Sus scrofa: one gene and its partner. The protein of the gene in region 1 interacts with the protein of each later gene in a pairwise test. Links are inferred from orthologs where the notes say so. Each region holds a gene or a part of one and is shown in the gene's direction. Other genes may lie near its edges.

Region 1 (3,748 bases):
TGCATGAAAGCTGTGTTTGAAGATACCCAAATTAAACCCTTTCCATTTTATATTCCATTTGAAAATTGATCTATGTTTCCCCATCATCTCCAAGATAAAGTCCCAGCTCTTCAGCACATTTGCTAAGACCTTCCTCTTATTCTCCAATATGCAACACACTCCTTAGCTTCCTTAAGAAGCCCATTATATTTGCCAATGTTTTGGGAGCTAGGCTTTTGGGGAGGGCAGATATGACCTGTACCAAGGAGCTCAGGTTTAATTACAGAAAAAAAAAAAAGTGAGATTTACTGAGCACTTGTGAGCTAGGCATTGTAATAAAGTGGTTTGGAGTTATTAATTTGCACATGAGGTTTCTCCAAATACCTTCTCCTATCTGTATTACTGGGGAAATAATTCCAAATCATTCTTATGCATATTTCTAGGTTTGTAGTTTTCTGCCTTGGAAATCACCTATTGAAGCTGGGGTTCCGCCCTGCAGATTCTGATTTAATTTGTTTTGGGCTTGAGCATCATTTTCGAAGCTCCTCAGGTGATTCTAATATACAGCTGGGGTGAAGACTTTAGCGACGGATGTAAATAATCTTTCTTTCCCTTCCGTGCCCTGCATACCTTTCCTGATCATGTCTTATCACATTGCACCTTCTTTTCAGGGTGTATATCTAGCTCCCTAACTAGCCTCTGAATATCCCCAGTCAGCCACTTTTGCATTTCTGGAACGCGATTTATGGCCTGACATTTGGCGGAAATTTGGCAAATGCTGAATGGGAAGGTAAAATGTCCTCAAGACATACTTATTTCCGTGTGTGTGTGTGTGTGTGTGTGTGTGTGTGTGTGTGTGTGTGTACGCACGCGCTCGCGCGCCGACCGCCTCAAATGTGGATTTCTGAAGTTTTCCTGGCAAATGAGGACCCAGGTAAGCGAACAGCAGTTGCGAGGAGAAGGGGTCCAGCAGCTGTGGAGCACAGACGGCAAAGCCGCAACAGCAAACTATCGCTCACTTTAATGGTAAGCCCCGCCCCCAGCAGCAGAGCCAACCAGAGGGCACGGAGCAATCCCAGCCTTCCTGGGCGGTCTGAGAAAGTCGCTAGGGCTTTCAGAGCCGGAGCAGAATCGGGCTCGTCGATGAGCTCGGGCTCGATTGGCTGGCCTCCCACGGTGGAGTAACGGTCGTAGAGGCGGGGCGGGAGGCGGCTGAGCCGGCCGGGCTGGGCGAGCTGCTGTAGAGAGGCGGCAGCTGAGGAAGGTAAGCGGCCTTCGGGGTTCACAGAGGCTTTGCCTGGAGCCCCTGCTTGAGCTTCCACCGGAAATGGTCTCGTCTGCGCAATGCGAGTGGTCATACTGACCCTTACTGGGGTCCCCAGAGAGGAGCTGCCTGGGACGGGTTGGCGCCAGTTAAAAATCCCTGGATAAGGAGTTTGGGGGCGGGTGGGGGGAACCTGATCGACCTGGTCCTAGTCCTGGCTCCTCGCCCCTTGTGATCTTTGGCTCCTCATTTAACATCTCAGCGCATCAGTTTCTTCAGTTGTAGACGACAGCTGGTAAATCTTTCCTTACAAGGTGGTTGAGAAGGTTAATTGAGGTAGTGAGTGTGAAGCTTGGACGGATACCTGGCGCAGCCTGGATTCTGGATAGTTGTTGGTAGTTACTCCGTCCCCATGCGCTGGCCGGGGGGTCTCGCCCCACGTTTCAGAATCTAGGTGCCTGGGAAGGTAACTTGGCGAGTGAAGGCTCGTAGCAGAAGGTGGGGGATACACAAAGGGGTAGGTGAGTAATCCCTTCTCTGGTTTAAGTAATCTTTGCAGAGTTGGAGAGTCTCTTTATGTGGAATCTAATATGATTTTATTAAGAAAATCAGTGAGATGGAAATGTTGAAATGTAGAAGGGTTTCTGTACCACTTTATTTTCTATACATAATAATGGTAAAGACTGTGCGGGCATTACCTCTTTTGGCCTCAATCTTCTTCTGCATGAGGTTTTGTTTTGTTTTTACTTTTGGTATTGTCAAGTAGACCCGGGCCTTCCCCACCTCACCTTGGGAAAAAGGTGGCTGGCTGGCTAGGGTTTTGCCCGCAGCTTCTGCTTAGTGGCCTATTCTAACCTTTTATGTAACCTCTCCTGGGGCAGGATGATTTAATCGAGGTAAGATCCGATCCTAATTCTGTTTCCTTAGATTCGCTTCTTAGGAACGTTAAACAGTGTATTGGTATATTTTTGGGATGGCGCTTTTGCATTTAACAGACAATAGAGACTTTGAAAGCATTGCACATTCCATTTATTGCAGTAAAGTGAAATATGTGCTTTTGAGAAAGCTAATTACAGGTTTTGAGGTGACTCAAAAAAGAACAGCTACCAGCCATGCTTTATTCCCAGCTTGTCCCCAAAAAAGTAGTGAAAAGCAACTACATTTTAATGTATGGGGCATGAGCCAGGGGCTCCAAACCTATAAGGGGTAAGTTACCAAAGGGCTCTTGGGAAACCTAGACAGTGCAAACAGAACTATGTTTGGCTTCTCTGTGCTTGGTTTTCTGTGGTGTGTATGAACCAACTCCTACCCCGCAACTCCTTTTCCCACAGTTTTACTTTAGGTATCTTATGACACTGCTTAAAGCAAGCCACACCATCTGCTTTGGTCCTGGGAAGCACTGGGTCTCTTCTGGTGACTCACAGACCTGTGTCCTGGCATAGCCCGTAGTGGGGAAAATGCTGCTGCAAACTATCTGTAACATTAATTTCACAGCATAGACCTCTGAAAAGAAGGGCTTTGTCACAGGTGAAATTGATAGTTGTTCTCCTTGTCTTTGTGTTTCAGTACCAGTTGTCTGAGAGTACCCTTGCCAATGAGAATATTGTTTGAATACCTTTGAAGTCAGAATCAGATTTGATGCTAGATGATAATAGAGTTGGGCTCTCAGGTATATGTTTCAACAAAACAAAGAAAGACAAGGGGAGAGAAGGCAAGGGTGAAGGCACGTGGTGGTGAGCACTGGAGTCCATTAGCAGTTGATTCAGTAGATGCAGCTCCCTGTAGTCAGTCATTAACACCAAGAATACCTGCTCTGAGGATAACACAAATCATTCTTAATAGGAGATGAATGTTTAAGATGTGGGCCTGTTTATCTTTTTGAAACCTAGATGAAGATGCAGTTTCAGACGTGAGGCTCACTGGGTGATCATTTCATTCTGATCAACTTGAATGACCAGGTGAAAAGTGTAAGAGGAACGTGCTATGACTGAGGTATGTCTGACGCAATAAATAACTCCCTCTGGATGTTGAGAGGCTGTGGAAAGGATCTACTAATTATGGAATACTATGTATTTATTTCCTTTTGACCTCTTCATAATCCTATCAGATATTTTAAACCCAATCAAGGAAACTGAAGAGGTTAAGTAACTATTTAAGATAGTACAAGTAGCTGGTCACCAACTCTGATCACCACCTGTCTTGCTGTGTGCCAGGCACTGTTCCTTTTGCTTTTATTGTTATTTAACAAAATGTTTTTATTAAAAAATGACTTTTTATTATGAAATCAAACAGAAAAGAACACATATACCAAATGTATAGCTTAATGAATTATTAAAATCTGATACCACCCAGGGTAGGGTGGAGAACTATGCTAGCTAGCCATGCCAAGAATTTGCTTATCCCAATCACAACTGCTTTTGTCCTCTCATTAGTAGCTATTTTTCTGACTTTTATACTAGTCGCCTCCTTGTGTTAGTTTTTTCATAAATCCATATTCTTTGACAC
Region 2 (3,748 bases), on another chromosome or scaffold:
GATAATTTTGGTTTTTTTTAGGGCTGCACCTGTGGCATATGGAAGTTCCCAGGCTAGGGGTCCAGCCGGAGCTGCAGCTGCGGGACTATAGCGCAGCTCTCAATAACGCCAAATCCTTAACCCACTGAGAAGGCCAAGGATCTAACCCGCATCCTCACGAGGACAATGTGGATCCTTAACCCCCTGAGCCAGACAGGGAGCTCCAGGAGAGGGCTTAAATATTAAACTTAAATATTAAACAATGGGGGTTTCGGTAAATAAAATATCATATGTTCACAATGCAGAATATCGGGAATCTTGTTTAACCTAGAAAAATTTTAATATAAAAAAGTGTCCAAAATACATGTGACAAGGTTTTTAAAGTGCGATACCAACTTGCTCTAACTTGAACAAATCATTTAAGGGAGCTGAGTCTCTTCATTGACAAAGCTTAGATCCTTAAAGACCCCTTTCAACTCTTACCTGAGTCTAGGTACTCATCCTTTCTTCTTCGTAAAGAAAAGAACTCATCATTGGCAGTCAGTAAATTTTAGGTTGGCAGCTGTTTGTAGAGCTATCCTAAACTATTTTCTCTGAGAATTTACTAAAAGATGTTCGCAAAAAGGAAAATACCTATTTCGGAAGAAGATGTCCCTCAGTTGCCTATTCTTTCAGGCATCGTGCTTGGTTTTGACGGCAAAGACATTAATGCCCTCAAAAAGTTTAAAGTCTGATAATAATGATAGTGATCAGTGACAACAACGCCTGGAAAATAAGGAGTAAGGAAAAGGATTCCAAAGTAGAAAGAAAATCATGTCCAGAAACAAGATACTCCAGGAAGAGTACCGTTGACACGAAGAAATGGACCATTATTTGTGGTCTTTTTTTGCAGTCCTGTTCTTCTCGCTACCCAACACCACAAATCTCTGTGGACGCTGAATGAGAGGCTGAGCAGTACACCAGGAATCTCGGGTGCATCCGGCCGGGCCGGTGAGAAACTGACAGGAATCTACAGCTCACAGGTAACTTCTCTGAGGATCCAAGAAAGGCGACTTGATAGTGGCCACCCAGCGACTATTAGCTCCCGCGGGCGTTCCTGGCCCAAATTTTCCCGCCAATGTGAGTTTCTCAGATTTCCCAGGCCCCGCCCACTCCCGAGCGGGCGGAGAGCTTTGAGGGCGGGGAAGCGCCGGAAGCCTATCGCTATCTCTAGAATAGACTGCTCTACCCTGCGCCGACGCATAGTCCCGCAGACTTCTCTGCAGATCGCCGAGCGGTAGTTTCGGCAGCGCTCCTTGATCTGCAGGTTTACCGGAGGCCGTGACTAGGCTCTCGCCGGAACCATGGTGCGTTGGATTCCGAGCTCAAACAGGGTTGGGGCACAGGCCCGCTGGCTGGGGGTTGGCGAGTGATCTCTCTGTCACTCTTAGAGCGGGCCGGGGCTATGGGACATGGGAACCTCAGCCGATGGGGGGTTCTGGAGTGATTCAGCATCTCTGGCCTGGCCGGCACAGGGGAAGTCGGTAGTCGGTGCGGCCTTTCCCCTGGGTTTGTTTCGCTTTCCATCCGGCCTTGAACAATACCTCCTCGGTCTGCTAGCCGAGTTCGCCCCTCAGTTTCCTTCAGTCGAGTAGATTCCGAGCGGTCCAGAGGGGCCCCTAGTGCTCTGTGTGAGAGAAAGGAAAAATTGGGATTTGACTTTTGGAATCTCCCTGTATAGCCAATAGCAGAGTTGAGAGCTCAATTCTCTTTTAGAGCTCAATCAGAAAAGGCCTTTTTTCAGTCACTTATCCAGTTAAGTATTTTTATGAAAGAGTAAACTGAAGCTGATAGAAGTGATAGAATAAGGGTTACAATATAGGGCTCAGAGCTTCCAGTCCTATGTCTACCATTCCAGCAGTCAGCCTTCTCACCCTAATGATTGGGCTCCCAAGTACTGTGCTGGCAGACTCATTTTAAGCTGTCTTTAAAGCTGTAATGGGTCCGTCTCTGTGGCTATTTGTGTCCACTTCTGACTTTCTGGGGACATTCTTGTGTGTACTCATTCTATAACAATGTTTTAAATGCACTGTTTTAACTACAGTGAAGGTTCAAAGATAAATCAGACACGTCCCTAATCGTAATATAAGGTCGAAAAAAAAGGTGTAGATAAAGGAATGGTAGGAGTATGTGTTGGGATTTGGGGAGGAAAGATGGAGAAGGCTTCAAGAGGTAGACATTTGAGGTATTTAAGGAAAAGGAATGCTTTTTTTTTTTTTTTTTTTTTTTGTCTTTTTGCATTTTCTAGGGCGGAATCCGCGGCATGTGGAGGTTCCCAGGCCAGGGGTCTAATCTAATCGGAGCTGTAGCCCCGGTCTACGCTAGAGCCACAGCAACGCAGGATCCGAGCCTCGTCTGCGACCTACACCACAACTCACAGAGGCGCCAGATCCTTATCCCACTGAGCAAGGCCAGGAATGGAACCCGCAACCTCATGGTTCCTAGTTGGATTCGTTAACAACTGAGCCACGACAGGCACTCCAAGGAAAAGGAATGCTTTTGATCGTATTAGGTCTTGGTATCAGGGAAGAGAATAAGCCAAAGATAGAAAGGAGAGTGGACACATAGGAACTTTAGTAATTGACTGAACTCAAAGGCAGTGCAATGGACAGTGGTAGAATTGGAATTTGGGAAGATAGGTCCCATCTGGCTCTGCTCTCCCCTCCCTCACAAGCTCCTTGTAAATGTAAAATTGGCTTGCAACTAAGTACAGTAGAAATCTTCCAATGAGGTTGCAGTAACAACCTTTCATTAATGTTGGATGGAAATAGACTAGAAAATTATTATTATTATTATTTTCTTTTTTTTTGCTTTTTAGGGCTGCACCCAAGGCATATGGAAGTTCCATAGGGGTCCAGTCAGAGCAGCAGCTGGAATCTGACCTATGCCACAGCTCATGTCAATGCCAGATCCTTAATCCATTGAGCAAGGCCAGGAATCAAACCCTTGTCCTGATGGATACTCGTTGGGTTTGTTACCAATGAGCCACGATGGGAACTCCAGAAAACATTTTTGAGTGATAGAGCTTGTTAAGATTTGGGTTTTGTAATGTTCTTGTATTAACAGATTTTTTTTCATTTACTTTCAGTTTCGCAACCAGTATGACAATGATGTCACTGTTTGGAGCCCTCAGGTAAAATGTTTTATACTGTTTCTACAAAGTTGCTTTTGGTGGCTGCAACTTAAAAATGTTTTGGATAGTATGCTGTGAGAAAATATAATCATTTTAGACATTCCTGTAAGTTTCCTAGTTTTAAAGAACATCGTTTGAGGTTTAGCTATTCTTACCTGAAATTTGGGATCTCTGAGTTAATTTTTTTTCTGCATTTGATCATATGGGGATATTTATGTCATTTTTAAAAAATATAATTGTTTAAAAATATAGTTGTTTTACAACGTTGTACTAATTTCTGCAGTACAGCAAAGTGACCCAATCATCCATATATATATATACACATTCTTTTTCTTGTATTACTTCCATTGTGTTCTGTCCCAAGAGGTTGGATATAGTTTCCTGTGCTATATAGTAGGATGTCATTGCTTATCCATTCTAAATGTAACAGTTTGCATCTACTAACCCCACACTCCCAGTCCATCCTACTCCCTCCCCCGTCCCCTCTAAGTTAATTTTAAATCCATGAAAGGGTCTTGTACAATGACTCTAAGGTGTATTGGGTTTTTTTCCTTTTTAGGGCAGGATTCATCAAATTGAATATGCAATGGAAGCCGT

What was found. The genes of interacting proteins can lie anywhere in the genome.
Region 2: the proteins of CEP70 (region 1) and PSMA1 interact in binary tests that used the Homo sapiens proteins (3 or more experiments, as listed by UniProt). The two-hybrid records come from large-scale screens. The link is inferred for Sus scrofa from reciprocal best matches to the Homo sapiens genes CEP70 and PSMA1.

What each region holds. Positions count from the first base shown.
Region 1 is NC_010455.5:79,384,279-79,388,026, reverse strand, and holds the start of CEP70 (centrosomal protein of 70 kDa), read left to right. Parts: upstream 1-1,086; 5' UTR 1,087-1,243; intron 1,244-3,132; 5' UTR 3,133-3,226; coding exon 3,227-3,235; intron 3,236-3,748.
Region 2 is NC_010444.4:44,738,914-44,742,661, forward strand, and holds the start of PSMA1 (proteasome subunit alpha type-1), read left to right. Parts: upstream 1-1,188; 5' UTR 1,189-1,322; coding exon 1,323-1,325; intron 1,326-3,106; coding exon 3,107-3,151; intron 3,152-3,710; coding exon 3,711-3,748. UniProt on the Homo sapiens protein: Component of the 20S core proteasome complex involved in the proteolytic degradation of most intracellular proteins. This complex plays numerous essential roles within the cell by associating with different regulatory particles.